7 linked regions of the Macaca mulatta genome follow. The protein of the gene in region 7 purifies or fractionates together with the protein of the main gene of each other region. This does not show direct contact. Links are inferred from orthologs where the notes say so. Each region holds a gene or a part of one and is shown on either strand. Other genes may lie near its edges. The genes, in order: SMAD7, USP9X, CPSF6, LAPTM5, MAVS, AMOT and ITCH.

Region 1 (4,066 bases), on a different chromosome or scaffold from region 7:
TGCACCCTGGGGCTGGCAGAGTTGAAATGAGACAGATACCCAGTTCGGCCTTCCATCCAACTCTCTTTGCCCCAAAACTCCAAAGCTGCGCGGCCACGACAGTGTCTGGGCCACTTGTGTTCGACGTGATTCTCCTTATTTACTGAAGGAGTAAATACGGAGACCTTCCAGCCTTTTTATAGCATGCTTCTCCCAGCCTTCCTTGGCGGGCCTGGACCAAATCCAACTCGGTCACACACCTCAACGCCTTTCCGGGTGCGGGGAGGCGTGACCCCCCCATCTCCCTCTGCACCCCCTTGTTGATCCGGAAATGAAGGCGTCTAATTTTTAACCGCAAACTGTGTGCAGGAGCAGTGCCCATAGACCCCTTCGGGGCAACACAGGAGAAATCCTGGAAGGGAAACCCCAGGGAATGCCCTTTGAGTTTCCCCGTGTCCCTTCTCTACTTTCGGCCCCCAGTCTCCTCCCAGGAGGGGATGCACACTCCCCCTGGAGGGGTGGCTGCACAAACGCACTGCCCTAAGGGCTTTTCTTCCAGCACTGGCGCGCCGGAAAATGCTGGGGGTAAGGGGACAACTTCTCACCTAGTTCGCAGAGTCGGCTAAGGTGATGGGGGTTGCAGCACACCAGCTCGGGGTTGATCTTCCCGTAAGATTCACAGCAACACAGCCTCTTGACTTCCGAGGAATGCCTGAGATCCGGCCACCTGAACACTTTGCACAGCAGGAGGGGGAGCGAGTAGGACGAGGGCGGCTGCGCAGGCTGCGCGCTGGCGGGCGCCCCCGGGCCCAGCCTGCAGTCCAGGCGGCCGGGCAGCAGGAGGCACGCGGTGCGCGTCCCGCCGCGGGACTCCACGGCCTGGAGCAGCAGCTCCAGCTGCCGCTCCTTCAGTTTCTTGAGCACCGAGTGCGTGAGCGCCTTCAGATCCGCTTCGGCGCCCCCGGCCGCGCCGGCGCCCGCGGCTGGCGGGTGGGGATGGTGGTGACCTTTGGCACCTCGCACCGCCTTGCCCAGGCAGCATCCAGCCCTGCCCGGGCCGCCGCCACCGGCCCCATGCGCTCGGCTGTCCGTCGCCCCTTCTCCCCGCAGCTCGCCGCCTCCTCCACCTCCCCCCGCGCCCTCCTCCTCGTCCTCGCCGCCGGGCGCACGGCTCCTCCAGAGACGCCGGACGAGCGCAGATCGTTTGGTCCTGAACATGCGGGGCGAGGAGGCGAGGAGAAAAGTCGTTTGGCGGCTAAGGAGCGAACATGACCTCCGCACACCATGAAGAAGTCGGGCGCCGAGTTGGGGCAGCAGGCGCAGGCGACAGCAGCAGCAGCAGGGGCCCGGGCAGGAGCGGCGGCGGCCCGAGGGGCGCTCCGTGGCATGCGCCAGTCTCCCGGAGGCCGGGGCGCGCGCGGGGGCCCGGGGGCGCCCGCCGGGGATCGGGGGCCTGCGCTCCGGCTGCCCCACCCCGCGCGGCCCGCGCCCTGCGCGGCTCTCCGGCCCCGGCGCGCCCCGGAGGAACCCGGCCGCCGCTTCCCTGGGGACGGCCGAGCCTGCCCCCGTCGGCGCCTCCCCAAAAAGAGGCCCCCCCGCAGTGGCTCCCGAATGTCGGGCTCGCCAGCCTCGGATTCCTACATGGAAGGTCCGCGGAGGCAAAAAAGCGAAAGGCGTTCGGCTGGGCTGCTGGAAGAAGGAAAAAGCCTCTTTCCCCCTTGCTAAGCAACTTAATTTGGGGGTGGGGAGAAGCAGGCAATTAAAAAAAAAAAAAGCAAGCACGCAATTTATTTTTTTTCTCTATATCCTTAGTAACCGGATCTCCTCGAATTCTGTGCACACGAAGACTCAGGGGAGGGGGCCGAGTGGACTTCACCCCGCATGAGATGTCTGGCGAAATAAGAAGGCTCTCGCAAAACCTAACAACCAAATATGCAAAGCCCCAAATGAAAAACACCACCTCCTCGAACCTCTGAGGTCTGGGGGCGTCCGGCTGGAGCTGGGGTTTAAAAAAAGAAAATGTTTACAAAGTATAACAAGATGTTTGAGGGGTGGAAAAATGTATCCACGAGTTACATCCCCCCCTTTTTTCCTTGCAAAGCCCCGCTGGTCTTCCTCTCCTTCTGCCAAAAAAAAAAAAAATCGTGTATTTTTTTAATCCACAGAAAGCTTTGGCTAGACCGCTTCAATCCTGCGCATCTGGGTGGTTTAGGGGAGTCTCTGGTCTTTCCTCCTGCGCTCCTGGGGGCCCAGGTCCTCGGCGGGGACTTCCTCGAGGCTGGCGGGGGCGCAGGGGCAGAAGATGCTGCGGCGGCGGCTGAGCCCGGCGGGGCTGACAGCGCGGGGGAGGGCGGCGCGGCGGCGGCGGCGGCGGAGGGCCCCAGGCGGGTCGCGCGTTCTCGCCCCCCCTGGGCACAAGCTGCTTGCTAGTGCGGGGGCCGCCGGTGTCCCTTCCCCTGGCCGCGGCTGCCCGCCGAGGGTCCCCGCATGGGCTGCTCGCCTGGCCCCAGCAGCGGCGGCAGGAGGCCCCGGTGTCCTCTCGGCGCCTCCTCCTCCGAGACTCTCCTCGTCGCGCCCGGGAGCCTCCTTGTCCCCGGTCCGCCCTCTCCTGGCGCTCTGGTCCTTCTGCCGCCGCCAGGGGCTCGCCGCGCCGCACTCTGGGGCTCAGGGGCCGGGCGTTCGGCGGCTCGGCGGCGGCGGACTGGCTCTGTCTCGGGCAGCTCTCTCCCGCGCGGCGAGCGGACCGAGCACGGCGCCCGGCTGGCTCGGCTGGCGCGGCTCGGGGACAAGATCTTCAGTGCGCCGAGCAGCAAGCGAGTGTGCCCAGACCTCGCCGCCTCCCGCAAGGCCTCCCGCCCCCGCCCCCGCCCCCTTCCCTCCCCCTTCCTCCCCCTTCCCTCCCCCGCCCCCAGCCGCCGCCGCCGCCGCCTCCTCCCCGCCCCCCCGCACCCCCCCTCCGGCCCTCTGCTCGGCTGGTTCCACTGCGCAGTGGCGCGCCCGGCTCCGGCCTCGTCACGTGGCCGTCTAGACACCCTGTCGCTTTAAAAAAAAAAAAAAAAAGCGATTGTGTTTCGCAAACAACAGATCGGGTTTCTAAAAGCTATTTCTCCCCCCAACCCCCCGCCACCGCCACCCCCTCCCGGGGCTGTAGATGGGGTACCGACGGAGGGGAGAGAGAGGTGGGGGGCAGAGAAGCTCCCAGAATCGATTGAGCCCCGGCGGGAGCCATGGAGAAATTGGAAAAGCAGGGAGCACCGAGCGGGCTTCGCTGCGAGTTTTGGAGCTTAGAGAGCCGGTCGGTGGCCCGATTTCGACCCGGCTGGGCTTCGCGGTGGCCATCTCGCGCGCGCTCGCTCTAGCGCTTCATTCATTGGTTTTGTTTTAAAGGCCCTGGCGGCGGATCCCTTGGCCGCGCCGGAGGGCAAGGGGAGGAGAGCGCTGTCTCGGTTTAAAAGACATTTATACGGGACTGGACCGAGGCCCCGGGAAGTGTGCGCTGAGGGGAACAGCCGCCGAGGGCGGGGAGGCGGCGTGAATATGACCTCAGCGGCGGCCGCGCGCTCCCTCCCGCCCTCTCCGCTCCGGGCTCCGGTTTCTAGGACTGCCTGGAGAAGTGTGTCTTGTGCACAGCTATGGAATGCATTTGGCCGGCTGACGAGCTGCGAGGGGCAGCCTCCTGGCGGGAGAAGGGGAGCGGGAGGCGGGGGCTCGCCTGCGCGCCGCCCGCAGGTTTCCTCCCGGGCCCGGAAGACCTCCGCCACCAGCCACCCTGCCTCCTGGCGCGGGAAGGTTACCCAGCGAGCAGACCTGCCTAGGGCATTTATTTGCATGCAGGGCCTGTTTCTGGGCCTCGTAGCTTTCAAGGTGCTTAGGGTCAGAGAGTTTATACCTTGACCCCAGGTCCCGAAGAAACATATACTCAAGCTGGCGAGTTACTGCATAGAAACGGGCATGGCATTGCTAGGGCATGAACGCATATACAGCGTGAAAGCTGATGGCTCTGAGAAACGTAATTATTTAAATACACACACATCAGTATTGATGAGGCCACTGGTTGGCATGGTGATCTAACCTCACTTCATATTCA
Region 2 (3,436 bases), on a different chromosome or scaffold from region 7:
GGTAGATTTCCATAGGTGATTAGCTATAAAGTAAATAAACTAGTAAATAAATAGCAAAAGAAATGAGATGAAGAAACATTCTAAATGAAAACTTTTTCTTTCTGAAACCGAAATGTGACTAAATCAGCTCTTGTGAGGCAATGGTACTCAAACTTGAACAGGCATGAGTCTGCTTGGAGGGCTTGCTCCAGCAGAGGGCTAGACGCTATCCCAAAGTGTCTGATTTCATAGGTCTTCAAGGGGCTGGAAAATGAACATTTCTAACAAGTTCCCAAGTGATGCTGCTGGTGGTCCAGGAACTATACTTGGAGAAACATTTCAGGCATTCTTTCTTACGTTTCACTGTGTACACAGAAGCAAACTGAATAGTTAGGAAGTACACATTCAGCATACGTATTTTCATCTGTAGAAATGGGCGCAGTAGCTCATGCCTGTAATCCCAGCACTTTGGGAGGCTGAGGCAGGCGGATCACCTGAGGTCAGGAGTTTGAGACCAGCCTGACCAACATGGAGAAACCCTGTCTCTACTAAAAATACAAAATTAACTGGGTGTGGTGGCGCATGCCTGTAATCCCAGCTACTCGGGAGGGTGAGGCAAGAGAATCTCTTGAAGCCAGGAGGTGGAGGTTGTGGTGAGTCGAGATAGCACCATTGCACTCCAGCCTGGGCAACAAGAGTGAACTCCATCTCAAAAAAAAAGTCTAGAATCTTGGCGTGGCTGATGGAGCATATACAGAAAAATGAGAGCACTGTAGGGTTCAGACATTTTAAAAGGTTAAGGAACCAAATCCACAAGGGAGGTTAACTTCCTTTGACCCTGAGAAAGCTCTTATGTTAATCATGCCTGGTTACTTTATCATCTTGAACATTGTTCTGTTTTTAATCAGCATTATTGTGAGTTCAGGGTTACTACTCCTGTATATCTTGTATCATGGTTAGTCAATTGGATTTAGCATGTGGAAGAGTCAATAGATGCTCATAGATTGTTTTCTGAACATTTTTTTACCAAGAGCAACAGTGGGTTAATCCTTTATTTGCCAGACTTGAGTCTAAATCATTTTGGCACTAAAAATCACTTTGGCCAAAGATGTATGTGGACCTACACAATCACTGCTCTTATTCAGGGTTTGGGGGTTTGCATTTACATTATGTTTTTCTCTTTCAAGCCTTTTTTTGTTTTTGTTTTTGTTCTTGCACAATAGTAGTCCAACGGTATTTACAGAGTAAGTCCCAAGAATAAAAGTTTACATTTCCAGAGACTTCAGACCATGATTTTGAAGTTGTTTTACTATGTGAAAAGTTTTAACATGCAGATCTCTTCTCCTTTCCCAGAATAACCATGTGCATGGACAGCCATATACAGGCCCAGCAGCACATCACATGAACAACCCTCAGAGAACTGGCCAACGAGCACAAGAAAATTATGAAGGCAGTGAAGAAGTATCCCCACCTCAAGCCAAGGATCAATGAAATGCACATAATTAACTGGTTCCATCAAGACTGTGCACCCAGGCCTTACAGTCCAACCTTTTTCTGTGTCTGGCTAATATTTAAAACTAGAAAAACTATTCCTAATCAACATGGAGTGGAGAGTTTATTCACTGTCTTATCTGCAGAAATTTGCTGTCAATATATAACCCGCCTGCAGTGGAAAGTGTATAGTGTTTTGTAATAAATGGCCTGATGCTAATGTGTAAATGGCAAAGGTGTATATAGTATATTAATGTTGACTGTTAATTCTTAAGCAAGAAACTTTTTTCTTGATGAGACTCACAGATCTACACAAACTACAAAAGTTAATTTTCTTGTTATACCCACTGCACTCTGCAACCAGTGTTGCCTGCCTCATGGCAGTTGGTTCAGCTCCTTTACAAAAAAACCCAACAGCAACAAAACAGAGCCCATTCATGTCAGCCACACCAATAGTTTCATGTTAATTCTTTGCCACTGGAGTCAATTTTGCTATGAGCAATGTGTAAGGCTGGTAACCTTTAAATTATTTGGTTGATGTGGAAAATTGGTGATGTAACACTGTTTCTAGATTTTTTTCATTGCCTTTTTATTCTGATATTAGGTTAATCACTTTGAAGCTATAGTTATGCTGTAACATTTAGCATGGCTTCACACCAAGTTAGTGTAGCCAGTGAGGAAAAAGTTACCATAATGACAGCAGTTGTCCGAGAAGTGACAGCTGTATTACTCAGAGCTTTTACTTCTTACACCTAGAATATTAAAATATAAAACAAGGCGAGAAATGTGACAAACAGGCTGTTTTCAGTTGCACATATGTTCCTTATGTATAATGTTTGACAGTTCAATCTCTGGGTGGGATAAAGAACACTTACGTATCAGTAATGGGAATTTTAAAAAATATAAAACAAATATGCAAAAATTTGCTATGCCAAGATGCTGGAGCATAATAGAAGACTGTATTTGGTGTGCTTGTTTTGTTTCTTTGGTAGAGTTTATTAGGTGAATCTTCTCAAACTTTCCTTCTGCTGGATCCCAGTGACGTGGAAGTCATCAGAACCCCACGATACTTGGAGTACCTCTCTGCACCAAGATAGCTGGCTGATTTTCTGCTCAGTCACAATTTTACTTGAAAGCAAGAATTGTCCTAGCTCCTCTTCCATTATTCCAAAAAGTTTAACGTTCAAAGCAGGGTCTCATTAAAAAAGAAACTACTGGTTAGTTAATATAATTGAGATATCACAATTTCAGAATAAACATTTGATTACAAATAAGGAACTCCTCAGTTCATACTGTATTTAAAAGAGAATTGGTAACTTGAATGTGTGTAATTTTTTGGAACCTGTCTAAAAACCAAATACCCTGCAAACAGATACAGCCCACCCTATTCTATTTAAATATTTTGCTGTTTTATTTTATAGAAATTATTTTGCTGAATTCACAAATAGAATTTGATTTAAGAAGAACTTTTTGTCCTGTGGTGTGTGTTTTTTTTTTTTTTTTTTTTTTTTTTGGTTACTTTTTTTGTCCTTTTTTTTCACAGAGGACTGCATATTAAAATTCATTCTGTGCATAGCATGCCTAGGCATGACACTGATTCAGGATTTCAGTCACACTGAGTTTTTGTGCACAGAAAGATTTGACCTTTGGCCCTTTACTGAAGATTTTGAGAAATCAGGATGTTGACACTGTAAAAGTTTCCTAACATAATCTTGTACTTTTTGTATGTTTTTTATATACATGTATATTTAATGAGCACAAGCTTGGTTGTATTTTTTACAATTCAGTTAATAGGGAAATGTTTTGTCAAAAGGCTACACTTGGAACTGAACAAAGCAGAAACAAAATTGAGCATTGCATTATTTTGTGATTAAAAGGGGCAGGTATTTAAGATAAAGCTTTGGGTATCTTATTTGTAGTACTCTGTGGTCAACCTGTGCTTCTAGGTGTTCCTGTAATAGTAGGA
Region 3 (3,970 bases), on a different chromosome or scaffold from region 7:
GATTATGTCATACAATATTTTTAGTTATTTTGAGTTTTGATTGCATTTTGACTGCAACCTGGCACATAAGATCAGGTGTGGAATTTTTCACTTGCGGCATCATGTCAGTGCACAAAAAGTTTCAGATTTTGGAGCGTTTCAAATTGTTGGATTAGAGATGCCCAACCTTACAGATGTTGTTTGGGTTATTCTATGGATGATTTCTCGCCAGTTTCTCAGGAAACACGCTCTACTATAGTATATTTCTTAATGAGTGAAAAAGAAATAAAGAACGGAGGGGAAAGTTTCAAACTGGAGAGACATCCTTGAGTAAAGTATCGTGGCTGAATGTTCCTACCTTTATTGACCATGTGACCTGGTTAAATCACTTAGGTTCTATTAGGCTTCAGTCTTCTCCTCTGTAAAATGAGATGTTTGGACCTAAGGACACCTTTCCAGTTCCCTTCCCGCTGGGACATTCTAGGATTCTGAGAAAGAAGCCCCTGGCCTCAAGAGACCTCCACTCTCTTGGGTGTGCTCTAAGATGACTGCATTCATTTTAGAAGCATCTGAACTATGCCAGAGACAACCTACTGTAGATCTAAGGAAGAAAAAATGAAGGGCAATGAATGCGAGAAGAAGGGGAGAGGAAAGAAGCCCATGAAGATTAGAGATGGAAATGGCAACATAAACAGCGTGCAAATATAACCACTGACGGGTATCTAGCGTTTACATGCAAATAAAATTCTGCTTGTCTCTGAGGATGCAGAAACAACACATTGTTTTTGGCCTTAAGCCGCTCACAGAATGCCCGGGGGTTACACTTTGTATTTAACCATGAACATATAACTTCCACCTTTAGAAGTCCTGCATGTGTGAAAGGTAAGAAAAACGGATAAATGAAAATATTAACAAAACGTTTGAGTATGGCAGAGGCCACGTGAAAAGACGATGTGTGGAAACAGGTGGGACCCACTGGTAAACTGGATGCGCGAGGAGGACAAAGAAATTGCCCCCCACTCCCGGGCCTCACCCAGACACAAAAGAAACGCCCTCTGCCCTTAGAGGAGCAGCCTTTCCTCAGCCAGCCGAGCGGCTGGGTTGCACAGTCCCCGCCCCCGGCCGGCCCCTGTCGCTCCCGCCTCCATCCCTCGGGCCTCGGAAGTGACGCAAGCGCCCCCCACCGCCGCTAGATCCGCTGCTGCTGCCGCGGCGGGCGGACCTGCAGGAGGAGGCGGCGGCGGCGGCGGCGGTGGCGGCCGAGGCTGAGGGAAGATGGCGGACGGCGTGGACCACATAGACATTTACGCGGATGTGGGCGAAGAGTTCAACCAGGTACGTGAGAGCCCGGGTCCCCGTCGCCCATGCGGGCGGCGCTGCGGCTGGGACGCTGACCCGGGGCCCGCTGCGGCCGCGAGCCGAAGCGACTGCAGACTATGCGCCCTTGCCGCCTCTGGGCCGCGCCGCCGACCCCCGGCGTGGCGGCCCCCCCCCCGCCCTTCGTTCTACCGCGTCGTTTCACGGGCCGCGGGCGCGGCGACCCGTCGCGGGGCCCGGAGCGCGGATGCGGGCGGCTGTGCAGCTGCCGCCGGCTCCTCCCTCGCCGGCGCTGCCTCGCTCCCTATTGTTGGCGGCACCCGGCTGGCGCTTCCCGCCGCGCTAGGCCCGGGCGGTGGGGCCGCGTGTAAGCGGCGGAGAGAACTGGCCACCGCCGCGCCCCCTCCCCCGTCGCCGGCCGGAGGAGGAAGCCCCGGCAGGGCGCGCGCCCGCCGCCGCCGCCCCTTCCCCGCCGCTGCCGCTCGGGCTCAGATTCCTCCCATTGCTCCATTTTGTCTCCCTACCCGCGCACTATCGCCTCATGGAAGGCCGCATTCACGGCCCTTTGTATCCCGCGCGCCCAGTCCCTGGGGCTCTCCTCGGGTTTGCGACAGGTTTCGGCGTGGCGCCTTCCTCCTCCCTTCACACTTTCTGAAGGCGGCTGAGGTGCAGGCTTGTTTGCAACAAGTCATTTGACTTTTGGAGCCACAGATAAAAGTCGGTGCGCTGGTCCTGCCTTGTTAATCCAGGGCTTGCAATGCCTTTGAAGCCCAGTCGTTTTTGGCCTTTGTTATGAAAATACCTGTGAAGATGGGTGGCCGGGGACCTAAAGGAAGATTGGAAGCGCGATGTTTGGATGGAACAAAAAGATGTTAGCTCACCCACAGGTCTCATAGTGATTAAAATGAAAGAACGTTCACCCCAAATCCTATGATGTGGTTTAAAAATAGAGTTGTAGATAAGACCCTGTTTTCGAAAACAAAGTGTTAAATCCCCCGGCCCTGCATTACCTTTTGAAAGGTTGAGCGAAAGTGAGAATGCAAGGTTTTCCTGAACGACGTTGCTTAGAGGTAACGCGGAGCTGTGATGTCTGATAATGGGCATCCTTGCAAAAGATGTCGTTTGTTGCTAGAGTAGTGACGTTTAAGGTTTGAACCTGCTGGTCGTATCTTTACTGCATTTTATGTAGTAACACATTTAAAACAAATTGTGCCTAACTGCCGTGTTCCTAAAAGCTTTATTTTTTTGTATTCCCCAGGTCCTTATGAGAAGCTTAATAAAATAATACTGGCTTAATGTGTTTTTTTCCCCCTCCATTAACTGTCATATTCGTGACTAGTTGCTCAGGCTTTTTAAAAACAAGGAAACTCAGGAGCTCTTTACTGTTTTATTTTTCAGGAATGACTTTGTTCTGGTTTAAATATTAGAAAACAGAAAACTACTAGTTGGCTTTAAATGTTTGCTACTCCGTTGAAGACTGGATTTGTTTAAATGTAATACATTGTAATGAAAGGTTAAGTTTTTAAATTTTTGTGTTTTTAAAATTGTGCTTGTTTTAAATAATAATGCTTGAATTGTGTCAGTTACAAATCAGATACATTCCTCGACTGCAACACAGATTCTAACGCTTATAAGACCTCTAGGAAATTTTTTTCCTTTTATTTATCAAGTGAATGTAACAGTGCGTTTAGAAGAGGGCCGTAACTGCAAGGAACAACGATTAAGTGTTCAAGGCTGCCCTTGTTAGCTTTTCTTACAAGAGAATACTTTGCTTCACCTTTCTATGCACAATAAAAGAAGAATTGGGACACAATTTTAGAAGTTAAACTTTTTTCAGTACCTCTTAATGAAATATGTTTGGGCTTTTGCATTCTTAATTTGAGAGGGACATCTCCCTTTTCCGGATAGCTGGGTGGATTGTTATCCCTGTGCAGTAACAAGTGCTGACTGGGTGGGAGGTAAGAAGAGATTAGTTTTGTGGACCCAATGAGGGACTCCTTTTAAATGTAACTTTTCAACGATTTGTATAAGGTACGTACCACATATCTAACACAGTTGTATAATTTTGCCAGTAAGATCTTTATATGTTTGAATAGATTGATGGCGAGGATACATAGAGGCATTGTTTTTGCTACTTTGCATATCGTTGGCCAATCAATGATTGATTGATTTGTATATCTTTTTGCAGTACCACTGCTTGCTGTGGTTGTTCCTGTACCAAAAAAAAAAAAAAAGTCACAAAAGGATAGTTGGTTATTTTCAGAGCTTATCCTGCTTTTAAAAATGTTACTGTCATTGAAATGTTTTTCCAAAATTTTGCCACCATTAGAGGCAACCACAAAATAATTTACAACTGATTTAATCTTTACTAGCTGGTGACCTTATTTCTACTAGTTGCTATAGTAGACTTGACCTCTTGTTTTATTGTTGAGTAAAATACTTTCCTAAGTATTAGCCAGTTTTGACTTATTTTGGCTTCAAAACTGTTGTAAACATTAAAAAAAAACTTTGTTTTCCAGTGTAAACTGCAGTTCTAATTGGATTTGTGTACTTTGAAATTCGGCATAGTCTTTATTTCCATTTTCTACTATTTTTTTGTCTGTATCCTGCTGAGTCTCATATTTTAAATGTCATACTTTTATGAAGCTTGTTTGTATTTTGGTAAGGTACAATA
Region 4 (3,500 bases), on a different chromosome or scaffold from region 7:
TGATGTTCATGATAAACTAGGACAGTAACACATTCATGTAATTTAGAAAGAAAGGAAGATAGAGGCGTGTGTTCAAAAGGTTTTACTGACATAGGTGCATGATGAAAACATCTAAGTCCTCCCCAGGGTTCAGGCTAGCAGGGCTCTGAGGCATTTTGGGGGTCAGGGGAATGGGAAGGCATCAGAATAGCACTGGGAGACTTGGGATCCCCCACTCAACTTGCTGTGTGTCCTTGGGCAAGCCACCTAATCTCTCTGAGTTTATAAAACAAGCAGAGGGAGCTTATAAAACAAGTAGAGGTAGGCTCCTTCTAGCAAGGGGAGGTTGAGATGATCTGATTCTAGGCTTTGTTCCAGATCTCAGATACTCCTGGAATCTTGACACTTTGAAAGTCTTCTCGTTTCACAGCTGGTTGATGCTCATGGTCCTTCTCTAAGCCCAGCTGTGACTCATCTGTGATCTGCTTACATACTCCCAGGAACGGGGAGCTCACCACTTCACAGGACACCCCGTTCTGTGCTGGATGGAGCTGTCATCTGCCTCCCTTTCTCTTTCTCTCGTTCAAGGTGAAACTGAGAGGAGAGGGGCTGCGGCTTGGCCTTTAGGGACTGAGGAAGGAGTTTTTCTCTCAGGGCTGTTTCCTCTGAGTGTTAGCCATAGCCCTCACCACACCTGCCTTCTGCTCAGGGTGCTCTCGACTTTCATGATGAGACAAAGCCTTTCCAGCTCACTCTCCAGCAGCTAGAGGGGGCAGTTAGAGCATGCACCATGCTCCTGGTACTACTGCCCAACCACGTAAGCTTGCCCCAGCCAAAAGCAGATTCTGTTTGCTGGGCACCCCCTGCCAGTCCCTGAGCTCAGGGTTTTGTAAGTATAATGCAATTTAATCTTCACTGAATCCAGCGATTGCAATTTTCCAGATGAGGCAACTCAGAGAGGTTAAGAGACTTGCCCAAGGTCACACAGTGATCTGGATTCAAATCCCTCTTGATCTGGAGCCCAGCTCTTCATCACTCTTCTGTTCAGTCCCTTTCCACGCCCATAAACAGGATGTAATGTGGCAGGAAGACAAGTTGAGACCTGTGTCTGAGCTAAAAAAAAAAAAACAAAAAACAAACCCACACAGTCAGCAAGGGGGAAACAGATGGTGGGTAGCTGGTTGCCTGTCAGCTGAGCATAAGTTACCAGTGCAGGGCTGCCTAGAAAGCCAATGTAAACTTAGGGCCATATTAATAGAGATAGGGCACCCACTAGAAGGGAGGGGAGAGTCTTCTTGTTCTTTATATGGGCAGAGGAGAACTGCATGTGTGTCGTAGGGGAAGGGTGGAGGGCTTGCTGCAAGGACATGGACACACGTAAGGTTGTGAGTTCCCCATGGCTGGAAGCACTTCAGCAGAGGCTGCATGGCACAGGATTCCTGCACTGGCTGGTGGAAGGCATGGACAAGGTGATCTCCAAGGTTCTTTCAAACTGCAGTTTTGTGGCTGAATTTCAGTGGTTTCTAGGTCCACCCCAACACTCTGGCCTATCAGATTCGCCCCTTCCCCATCATTCTTAGCAACGGTCCTCTGAGAGCGTGGGGTTCATTTGTTCATTCATTCATTCATTCATTCATTCATTCATTCATTCAACAAATACAACAGCTAGGGGGATGAACAAAGACACACACAAGCTTTCCCTGCCTGGAACCTACAGTCAAGTGGGGATAACGGTAATAATAATAGCACAGATGGAGTGCTTACTATCTGCCAGGTACTTTAAGTGAATTATCCCATCTGGCTCCACCACAATCCTATGAGGAAGATGTTATTATTCCCTGAGGGGCCATGGGAGACAGGGATTCAGGGTTAGATGCTCTCCAGGGCCCTCCCGGGCCTGTGTTGATGATTCCGGGAACCTGAAGCTCTATGATGCTCTCTGATCCCCAGAGCCTGTTGTTAGAGAAGGGGGTGCAGTGGAGGGGCCTTCAACTTCTACCCCCCACCCCACCCCTTTAAGCCTGACCTTCAGTAGTAACAGTTACCACTCTTACTGAGAGCCGGGCCCAAGGGATCTCCTGGGATAGTCTCATTTACTTCTCACGGCAGCCTCCTAAGGAAGTTACTAATATTATCCCCATCTTGCAGATGGGCAAACCAAGGCATATAGAAGTCAAGTAGCTTGTCCAGGGTCACACAGCTGGAGAGAGGAAGACCCAGGATTCTGAGCATGGGCTTTCTATGTAAAGGCCACTCTTTTGTCTGGGATGCCCTACTGACCTGGCATGCCATCCACTCCAGGATCCTCACTACTGGCTTCCCTGCTGTACACCACTAAGGTGGGAAGAGCTGGTCGGGGGGCCGTGATGCAGGCTCAGCTGACTGACGCTTTGCTCTGCCTCCAGATCATGAGCGTCTTGTTGTTCATCGAGCACTCCATAGAGGTGGCCCATGGCAAGGCGTCCTGCAAGCTCTCGAAGATGGGCTACCTCAGGATCGGTAGGTCCAGGGGACGCCGGAGGAGTGGCGGCGGGAGGAGGACAGGGAGCCCTGGCTGGGGATAGCCAGGCTGGGGTTGGAGGCCCTGTCACCTCTCCATGGACGATGGATGACCTCTGGCAAGTGTCTTCCTTTCTTGGGGCCTCGGCTGTTTCATCTGCAAATGGGGATGTTCCACCTGACCCCACCCACATATGCAGGTGGTGAGAGCAGATGGAATGGCACTTTGCAAACCCCCACCAGCTGGTAAAGGTGACAGCCTCACTCTTCTGCTTAAAGCTGTCAGTGGCTGCTCATCACACTAGAATAAAATGGAAACTCCTCACCATGGGACCCAGCCCCTGCCCACTTCTCTGACAGCATCTCCCTGCAATTCTTCAGCCCACACCTTGCTTCAGCCACACTGACCTCAGCAACCTTGTCCCTGTCTCAGGCCGACTCCTCATTGCTCTCAGGCCACTCCCCAGGGATGCCTTCCTCGGCCTCACCCTGGCTGAAGTGGACCCCAGCCTGCACCTCCAGCCCAACACCCTCTGTCGCATCCACCTTGTGCTACGCGTGATGTTCTGCTTTTGTCGTTGTACCCACTCCAGACTGAGGACTGCGTGAGGGCAGGGCCTGGGCTTTCCTGTGCACCCTCGTGTCCCCAAACCAGTGGTTCCCGAAGTGTCTTCCTGGGAGCCTGGCTGGGTGCTGGGGGTACGCCTGAGCGCCTCACTGCTCTCCTTGCCTTTCAGCCGACCTGATCTCCAGCTTCATGCTCATCGCCATGCTCTTCGTCATCAGCCTGAGCCTGCTGATCGGTGTGGTCAAGGTGAGGGCTCGGGAGCCCCGCTGCCCCTGCCCCTTCCTGTTATTCACACCCGCTGATGGGCAGTGCTGGGTGCCGAGACGGGGGGGAGGCGGGTGTGTTCGGAGGTCCCACCTGCATGCTGGAGATCTTCACATTTACCTTTTGGCGAACCATGTTTCTCCCTGAGATTCCCTGGGCTGGTGACCTTGGTTCCCTGGTAACATGAGCC
Region 5 (2,349 bases), about 7.1 Mb from region 7:
CAGGCTTTCCCTATTCCCTGGCCTGCCTGTGAGCTCATGCCCACCTGGAAGCCCTTGGTAGGGCAGGGCCCCATCCTGCACTGACATCCTGCCTGGGCCTGAGAACTAGAGAGCAGCCACAGGGTCAGAGGCCTGGCCATGTGCCCATAGGGCCATATGGACTTGGCTCCTCCCAGCAGACAGCCACAGCTAGAGTCAGATGTGAGGCTTGGAGCAGGCAACAATGGGGGGCTGCTGGGTCATAGTGGCTGCTCAGGTGGGACTGCGTTCTGTAAAGCCTGGCCATGGAGGGGCACACCGGGCATCCTAGTGGCGAAGAGCAAGGCAAGAGGCAGATGGGCCACTGTGCTGTCCCCCTCACTGCTTCCTTATATTCTAAATGGCACTGTTCGGCTTCACTAGGAGCTACGAGCCTTAAATGAACTTATGCACCTGACCAGTGGGTGCCCCCTGTGGCTGACCCTCCTGAGATGTCCAGACTTAGGAGCTCTAATGACTGTTCCTCCTGGAGAACATGGTGTGGGGCCTACATGAGGCTGGTTCTGTATACCTGCAAGGAGAGGCCATAGAGCAGCCCAGGCTGGAGACAATGCAGACTGGAAAGGGGCCAAGGCTGGGGCCAGGTGGGCAAGCTCTCCCAGGGGAAGGGGCGTGGATCCCTGCCAGGAGGTGCAAGGACTTACCTCAGTTCTGCTGCTCCTGTCAGTGGGGACTGTGCTGGCAGACACCTTGGTGCGCACCATGCTAGCAGGCACTTTGGATGGCACCATGCCAGCACGGGTTGAGTTGATGGGCAATTTGGATGGTGCTGGATTGGTGAACACAGAAGGCACTGTACCAGGGGGCTTTGAGCTAGTTGGCAACTTGGAGGGCACTGTGCTGGCAGATGCTGGGTTGGCAGGCACTTTCGGGGCCACTGTGTTCACAGGCATCAAGGTGGTAGGCACTTTGGAGGGCAGAGAGTTGGCAGGTGCCTCTGCCCCACTGGAGCAGATGATAGGCTCAGCCTGGTCACTCTCTGCACCCTGTTCACCCTCTGCAGCCCCTGCAGAGGCCAAGCCAGGGGATGAGGAGGAGGAGGAGGAGGAGGTGCCAGTAGATACAACTGACCCTGCAGGTCCAGGCAAGCGGCTTGCCCTGGGGGTGGAACGGGCCAGGGGCTGGAAGGAGACAGATGGAGACACAGGCCCACGGGATGGTATGAGGCTGGAGGTTGCACCTGCAGGTGGCAAAACACAAGTGGAAACACAGACCCAAAGACCGTTACCTTGAGGCCTGGAGAAGGGTCCCTCTGCCCCAGGTTTCATGGTCCCTACTGTGTCTAGGCCTCCAAATCTCCTGCCCTTGAAGGAGATGCCACAGTCCCTTTAGTCACTGTTTCCTGGCCTGAAAGCCCAACAGCTGCCCTCAGTCCTTGACCTGTAGCCCCAGGTCTGTCCTGGCACACAGTGAAATGGTACCTAGGAACTTGAAGATCATTATTAATTATTCTCTCCGCTTTTTCCTCTCCCACCTAGGAAACCTCCCCTCTCCTGTGTCCACTTTTTCTACCTTGACCTTAGCCTCATGGAATCCTGAACACTTCCCCCATTGCTGTCCCTCTCCGACCACCACGAGTGGAAGCAGTCGTGGATCAGGGTGAGGGGTGGCAGGACGGCGCATGCAGAATGGCTCATACCAGCCAAGAGGGCTGGCCATCCCAGAGGCTTGGGAAGAGAGGCAACAGGGACAAAGCCACCCCTGGGAGGCTGCCTGACCTGGGTCGGGGAAGCAGGGGATAGCAGGTAGTGATGGTCTATAAAGGCAGTTGCAGCAGGACTCTCCACGGAACTCGGAATGCACATGCCAAGCCCCACAGCTGGCAAAAGTCAGGGTGATTCTGATGTACACCTCCCCCACGGCAATCTAATACCACAGAATCTCATGGGACCTGTGTCTACAAACATACTGAAACCTAAGTGCCCTCTGCCTGCATGGTCTACAGCAACTCCTGAAAGGCATCCCATGGCCAGATGACACTACAAAGCATAGACAGGTGCTTGGAGCAGTTTGGGGATGACAAAAGTACTAAGATGACGTCTCCCAGCCTTTAACTGCTCATTGTCTTGTGGCTGTCCCAGGGCACTGAGGGCTGACTGGGCACCAGCATCATGTGGAACAGTTTGGGAAGTAGGAAAGAGACATGCTAGCCTGAGAGGTCCAGATGGACAACTATATATTTCTGAGGGGGAGCACTGAGGTCTGGAGTTGGGTCCAGGCCACTGGATGATGAAGAAGTCTGGGAACTGAGAAGTTTTCATGATTCACTGGGAACTGGAGATCTCTGCGGTAAGGCAGTGCCTAAAGGCT
Region 6 (3,500 bases), on a different chromosome or scaffold from region 7:
AAAAAAAAAACCCTCTTTGGGCTCCCTATTATTTATTTAGGGAGATCAAAGGGCTTTTCCATCTAGCTTCAAACACTGTGGGAGTCATTTCAGATCACAAACAATACTGGTGAATGAGTTCTGAAAATAGCTTTCCTAGGAAGGCGGGCTGTGTGCTGAGTGGGGCTGTGGCTTCTGCTCCACACCCCAGCCAACACACTCCCCTCCCACAAGGCAACAGACGTCAGCCCATCAACAGACTCTTCCATACTGACGGGAAAAGTAAAACAGAAACCCCCAGCTTCATTGATATTTTGCTGGCTTGAATGGGTTTCCACTAAGTGAAGCAGTCTTGAACAGATCAACCTTTCCCCGGGTCTTCCGTTTCATTGGTCAGATGGGAATCTGGTTCCTGATCTCTTTTAAACCTGAGTGGCCCTGTCGGTTACCCCATTTCCTGTTCCAAGACACTTATCAGAACATAGGCTCCTGCGCTTTGAAAGCTGCACAGAGGAGGTTGAAGGGTTAGGAAATCAACCTGGGTTAAGAGGGAAAAAAAAATCCTAAACTGGCAATGTTAGGGGTGGAGCCCAAAGCGAACTGCCTCTGGCTAAAAAAAACAGGACCTGGAGGGCAAAACAAAGAAATACCAGGAAATGCTAGGTGCCTTCTCTTACTTTCACCCTACTCCACCCCATGACTGCCTTCTCTCCTGAGTCACTCAATGAACTTCAAGCCAGAAGGTTTTTTCCAAAATAAGCAAGTAGGGTACAGGAGACAAAGAGGTAGACATCAAAGGACATCACAGACCTAGTCTGTGAGCTGCATATAGATGAAGGCCAGCCTAGGACCAAGCACTTCACACCTGATGGCCACCCATCATTACTCACGGTCATGGGGCAGGATGCCACACTTAAATGCCACCATTGGTGCCCACAGTTTAAACCTTTTCTCCTGCCCTATATGTTGAAATACTACTGATCAGAGACATGGCCCAAATACTAACAACAGGAACAATGAACAGAATCATAGAATCATAAGATCTAGTGAATATAGCAGTGGGACAAAGGACCTCTGAATAATTAAGAAGTATATATAGGAACAACTAAGTATATAAGACAGAAATGGTACTATTTTTCCTTCTGTATTTTAGCATCTGACTACAATTTCTATATGATGTGATGGGAATTTAACTCAAAGGTTTAAAAATGTGACAGGCAACTAATAAATTTTCTACCAAAAAAAGATACAACAGTCCAGATTTCATAAACTGCAAGCATAAGGCAAGTAACATTCTGAACCTACATACATACATAGCTCCCCCACCATAACATCTGGGTATTTGTTTAGTGTCCAAAAGAATAATGGTAATTCTATGGAAAAATGCTAACTGACAAGAAATACACAGATTTGTTTGCAAAAATAAATGATGAGAACTTCATGGAGGGGAATATGTGCAAGTGATAGGATGTTCCAGACTAATTAAAGTGCAAGGTAATTTGCTTCTACTTCTCAAGGAGGGTTTATGAGAAACACAGACCCCTTCTTCAACATCCTAGGAGACAGGACAGCGAATAGCCGCTGAAATCAAGACTTTTGCTCCTGTTCATCCACTAGGCCATTGAGGCCACGCTCAACCTACAAAGCTAAGGGATTGTTAATACAGTGCTAATCATGGCTACAGAGGCTACAAATTCAGGTTGGCAGGCAATTCTCTAAGCCAGAAGCCTGTCATGCATTGCAGAGTTTGTTATACCAAACAGCTGCCCATTCCCTCCCTAAGATTCCCAACACACAGCAGAAGCTGGTTGGGGATGAGGTCAGGAAATGACAGAAAGAGAACTCTCTTACCTGGCTGCTCCATACTCAGGGGGATGCTGATACCTCATCAGTTGCCCCTCTGTTCTCCCTGGCTGGTTCAGGCGATGCTCACTATAGAAGTGCCCTGGCTCTTGGGGCTTGCACACTACAGATTGGGGTGGCATGCCCTTGAAGGGATACTCTGGTGGGGGGCCTCGGTGTTCCATGCCCTTCAGGCTATGCTGGTTAGGAAGTGGCCCTTGGGCCTTGTAGAATTCACTGGAACTTGTGGGATTCTTGTACAGGTCATTGGGTTGTGGTGGGGAGAGGGGAGCACTGGTAACAGGTGGATGGGCCTTAACTCCACTGGTGGCCAGTGACATCTGCATTAGTCGTTCACTCAAGGAACGGACATGCCCTTGCTTAAGGTCTCTGAGTCCTTCATCTTGGTGCATCTTTCCAGGATTGAGCCGCTGAACTGATGGGCGTCCCTCGGTCCTCATCTTCTGGTTGGTGACTCCAGTGACATAGAAGGCAGCTCCAACACTGGCATGCTGTTGGCCCCGAAAGTACTGGGACTGAACCTTCGCTTCTTCGTAAGTCGGGAGTTCTTCATTATTCTGCATTCTAGGAGACAGTTGCTTCTCCATGATGATGTTTTCTGACTGGATTTCCTGCCCCTGGGGTTCTTGTCGAGCAGCATGAGCCACAAGCTGTTGGTGGTGGTCTTGGGGACTCAACACATCACTCTGAGGGCCCAGGTTCCCACTGCCAGTGGGGAAAGGAGGGCCATTCCCTGTGGCTTGCTGGTGTATGGCAAGTAGGCTGCGATTCTCACTAGGATTGCCATAGCGAAGCTGCTCTTGTAGCAAACGCTGCAATACTGTGGTCCCTCCACTTGGCTGTTCTTCAGAATTTCTCATCTCTATTGCTGGTGGTGCCTTGTGAAGAGAGAGAGAAATTGGGCACCTGGGCTGCCCTTGACCTGGGAAGGGGAAACAGGAAGCTTAACACCCAGTTGATGGATAAATTAGTCCTCTAAAGGGAATGAAAATGGATATTGGAGGGTGAGGATTCTATTGCAGAAACAAAGTAGAGAATTTAACCTAAAATTAATAGATTTTTGGGGATTCCAGGCCCTAGCACTGATATGATGAGGAAAGTGGAGGCATAAGAGCTCTAGGCTTCCTCTTTCACTTTTAGCATGAGCTAAATATTCAATCTGGACTTAACTCCTAAGAATGCTTGAGAAACCTGGAACAGTCAAGTAGGGTAATTAAAGCGGGTAACTTTTCAAGGTCCATATTCACAGGCTTCATCTCTCTGTATTCTATTTAAGGTAAAAACCCAAATCTTATTACTGTGGAGGTGGGGGCAGGACAGTGGGGAAAATTACCCCATAACAGGATTTGTAAAGCAGCTCAGCATATGAAGCGAGCTACAAAATGCAAAATAAAGACTCAAATAAATAAAAGGTGAAGAGAGCTTGGCTTGCACCAGATAGTAATGATCCCTGCCTCGATGCAAATCTTTTTCTCTGATCTCATAAGGCTCTGAAACATCTTTTTAAAAAATCATTTTTGTAGTGTCCATTTTGGATGCTGCTTGGCTTAATAAGAGAAGGACTTGGAATACTTATTACTGACAAAGTTGCCTTTCAGCCCTCCCGAAATAGTCATCGAGATTTGTTGTTGTTGTTATTGGGTAGGAGAAGCTTAAAG
Region 7 (2,541 bases):
AGAGAACTTCAAAGTGCATTAATCAGTTAATAATGGAGCAATCTAAACTTAAATAGTCATGAGAAAAAAAGGAAACCCTGTTAAAAATTTTAGGGGTAAAAAGAATATGGCAGATGAGGGGTATCAATCCAGTTCATGACAATGTAAAGAATGGAAATGACTACTCCAACATATGTCAGAGAAATGGTAACTTTGAAGACTTTTAATTCACAGAGAATATATTCCTGTGGTTACTGGATGTTATCTTCCTTTGTTTTTAGCCAGTACCACAGCTTTCCTCTCAAATGAAAATTTGATGTCAAAAGCTGTTTCACTGACCTCTATTTGGACTAGAAAACACTCTAGTCTTTCTAGTCTTAAACTCCTTAACAATTAAATATAAATGAAGTTGTTGGATTATGATAAAATTATAAAGCATCAATTATGTAGAGGAACATATAAAAATCACCAGTGACATCCTTAGATGAATTCAGTTAAATTAATTCTAATTCTAGGTTAACTTTTTTTTTCCTTTTATTTATTTATTTCTCCCCCTACCCTTCCCCAAAAGAGACAGGGTCTCCCTATATTGCCCAGGCGGGTCTTGAACTCCTGGGCTAAAGGGATCCTCCTGCCTCGGCCTCCCAAAGTGCTAGGATTACAGGTATGAGCCACCATGCCCGGCCCTAGGTTAACTTCTTAAAACAATGAAGGAATCACAGTGTTAACATTGTAAAGTGTAATATTTGCCAGGTAACTGAAACAATCAAACTTCCAAATGAAGTCATTTGTAGGCTGTGAAGAACTTTTCCCTGAATTCAAATTGACAAAACTACTTTGTAGAGATGCAAGAGTCTTGCATCACTTCCAGGAATGATGTATGGATTCATGCTCCAGAAAGGAAAAACAATAGTCAAGTCAGACTAAAATGAGAGGGAGAACACAAGCCAGAATTTTGCTCACATCCCCAGAAGCTGGGCTAAGCTTCCACTTTTAACAAATGCCTCTTACCAAGAGGTTAAATAGGCAGATCTTGTATATTGCAGTTACCAAAGGACTTCCCTGTATATCTGCAGAATCTCTAAGAGAAAAAAAACTACTCCCAAGTGAGACTTTTGACACATATACAGAATTGTTGTTAAAGGAACAAACTAGTGGAATAAGACAAGGCAGATTTCGTTGTTGTGTTAAAATCTCATATTAAGCAAGGTTTTGACTAGTCATTTGCAGACCTGATTTCTGGAAATGTTGAGTAGAAATCACTGGGAGATAAATCTAAATGAGAACATTAATTTACTTACACTCAGATAACTCTCTAAAGAGCGATAGTCCAATTTTACAAGATGTGCAACAGGCAGAGAAGGACAAACATTGCAAATAAGTTCTTGCCCATTCACGGTGCAAGTTCTCAGAAGTTACTCTTGTCCAAATCCTTCTGTTTCTTCTATGGCAAACAACAGCTTTTCCTTCAGTTGCTCATAGCTCTTGTATGGTGGAAGGTCCAGGCGATTAAAACTAAAAGCAAGAATTGTTAGTTTTAGAAAAGGAAATATGCAAAGAATCAAATGAGTAGTGTAGTATAACACTACTATAGAAGCACAAAATTATACTACCGTGCTTCAAAGGATACCATTAAGAAAGTGAAATAACCCAAAAATGGGAAAAAATATTTGTAAATTATATATCTGATAAAGGACTGGTATCCGAAATATATAAAAAACTTAAAACTCAACAATATTTTAAAATGGGCAAAGGATAGAGATTTCTCCAAAGACATACAAATGACCAATAAGCACATGAAAAAAATGCTCAACATCCTTAGGTAAATGCAAATAAAAACCACAATGAGATACCACTTCACACCTATTGGGATGGCTATTATTTAAAACAAACAAAAAAATAAACAACAACAACAACAACAAAAAACAGAAGAAAACAAGAGTTGAAAAGGATATGAGGATGTGGAGAAATTTGAGCCCCTCTACACTACTGGTAAGACTATAATGCAGTGTAGTCACTATGGAGAACAGTATGGTGAGATTCCCCCCCAAAATTAAAAATAGAATTATTACATGATCAAGGAATTCCACCTCTGGGTATATACCCAAAACAATCGAAAGCAGGGCCATGGACAGATATATCTATATTCTACCACAGTATACATATGTTTATAGCAGCATAAACAGCCAAAAGGTGGAAATAATCTAAATGTCCATGGACAGATGAATGTATAAACAAAATGTAGTATATTCAGACTATCAAATATTATTCAGCATTAAAAAGGAGGAAATGCTGACACATGCTACAACATGGATGAAAATTACAGATACTATTCTAAGTGAAATAAGCCAGTCATGAAAGGACAAATAAGATATGATTCTACACTTATAAAGTACTAAAGACAGTCAAAAATCATAGAAACAGTAGTAGAATGATGTTTGCCAGGACCTGGGGAAAGGGAGTCATGGGGAGTCATTGTTTAAAGCAGTGGTCTCCAACCTTTTTGGCACCAGGGAATGGTTTTGCGGAAGACAATTTTTCCATGGATGGGAGTGGGGAGGA

What was found.
Region 1: the proteins of ITCH (region 7) and SMAD7 purify together in Homo sapiens (affinity purification with western blotting; 4 studies listed by BioGRID and IntAct, with this or other methods). This does not show direct contact. The link is inferred for Macaca mulatta from reciprocal best matches to the Homo sapiens genes ITCH and SMAD7.
Region 2: the proteins of ITCH (region 7) and USP9X purify together in Homo sapiens (affinity purification with western blotting; 3 studies listed by BioGRID, with this or other methods). This does not show direct contact. The link is inferred for Macaca mulatta from reciprocal best matches to the Homo sapiens genes ITCH and USP9X.
Region 3: the proteins of ITCH (region 7) and CPSF6 purify together in Homo sapiens (affinity purification with mass spectrometry; 5 studies listed by BioGRID and IntAct, with this or other methods). This does not show direct contact. The link is inferred for Macaca mulatta from reciprocal best matches to the Homo sapiens genes ITCH and CPSF6.
Region 4: the proteins of ITCH (region 7) and LAPTM5 purify together in Homo sapiens (affinity purification with western blotting; 3 studies listed by BioGRID and IntAct, with this or other methods). This does not show direct contact. The link is inferred for Macaca mulatta from reciprocal best matches to the Homo sapiens genes ITCH and LAPTM5.
Region 5: the proteins of ITCH (region 7) and MAVS purify together in Homo sapiens (affinity purification with western blotting; 3 studies listed by BioGRID). This does not show direct contact. The link is inferred for Macaca mulatta from reciprocal best matches to the Homo sapiens genes ITCH and MAVS.
Region 6: the proteins of ITCH (region 7) and AMOT purify together in Homo sapiens (affinity purification with western blotting; 3 studies listed by BioGRID). This does not show direct contact. The link is inferred for Macaca mulatta from reciprocal best matches to the Homo sapiens genes ITCH and AMOT.

What each region holds. Positions count from the first base shown.
Region 1 is NC_133423.1:43,377,159-43,381,224, reverse strand, and holds the start of SMAD7 (mothers against decapentaplegic homolog 7), read right to left. Parts: upstream 2,801-4,066; 5' UTR 1,198-2,800; coding exon 585-1,197; intron 218-584; exon of another isoform or gene 40-217; intron 1-39. UniProt on the Homo sapiens protein: Antagonist of signaling by TGF-beta (transforming growth factor) type 1 receptor superfamily members; has been shown to inhibit TGF-beta (Transforming growth factor) and activin signaling by associating with their receptors thus preventing SMAD2 access.
Region 2 is NC_133426.1:41,117,346-41,120,781, forward strand, and holds the end of USP9X (ubiquitin carboxyl-terminal hydrolase 9X), read left to right. Parts: intron 1-1,332; coding exon 1,333-1,470; 3' UTR 1,471-2,936; downstream 2,937-3,436.
Region 3 is NC_133416.1:76,357,354-76,361,323, forward strand, and holds the start of CPSF6 (cleavage and polyadenylation specificity factor subunit 6), read left to right. Parts: upstream 1-1,170; 5' UTR 1,171-1,254; coding exon 1,255-1,314; intron 1,315-3,970. UniProt on the Homo sapiens protein: Component of the cleavage factor Im (CFIm) complex that functions as an activator of the pre-mRNA 3'-end cleavage and polyadenylation processing required for the maturation of pre-mRNA into functional mRNAs.
Region 4 is NC_133406.1:210,124,936-210,128,435, forward strand, and holds part of LAPTM5 (lysosomal-associated transmembrane protein 5), read left to right. Parts: intron 1-2,384; coding exon 2,385-2,478; intron 2,479-3,215; coding exon 3,216-3,292; intron 3,293-3,500. UniProt on the Homo sapiens protein: May have a special functional role during embryogenesis and in adult hematopoietic cells.
Region 5 is NC_133415.1:80,202,719-80,205,067, forward strand, and holds part of MAVS (mitochondrial antiviral-signaling protein), read right to left. Parts: intron 1,220-2,349; coding exon 684-1,219; intron 1-683.
Region 6 is NC_133426.1:119,532,664-119,536,163, forward strand, and holds part of AMOT (angiomotin), read right to left. Parts: intron 2,765-3,500; 5' UTR 2,703-2,764; coding exon 1,831-2,702; intron 1-1,830.
Region 7 is NC_133415.1:87,291,546-87,294,086, reverse strand, and holds the end of ITCH (E3 ubiquitin-protein ligase Itchy homolog), read right to left. Parts: intron 1,495-2,541; coding exon 1,395-1,494; 3' UTR 501-1,394; downstream 1-500. UniProt on the Homo sapiens protein: Acts as an Acts as an E3 ubiquitin-protein ligase which accepts ubiquitin from an E2 ubiquitin-conjugating enzyme in the form of a thioester and then directly transfers the ubiquitin to targeted substrates.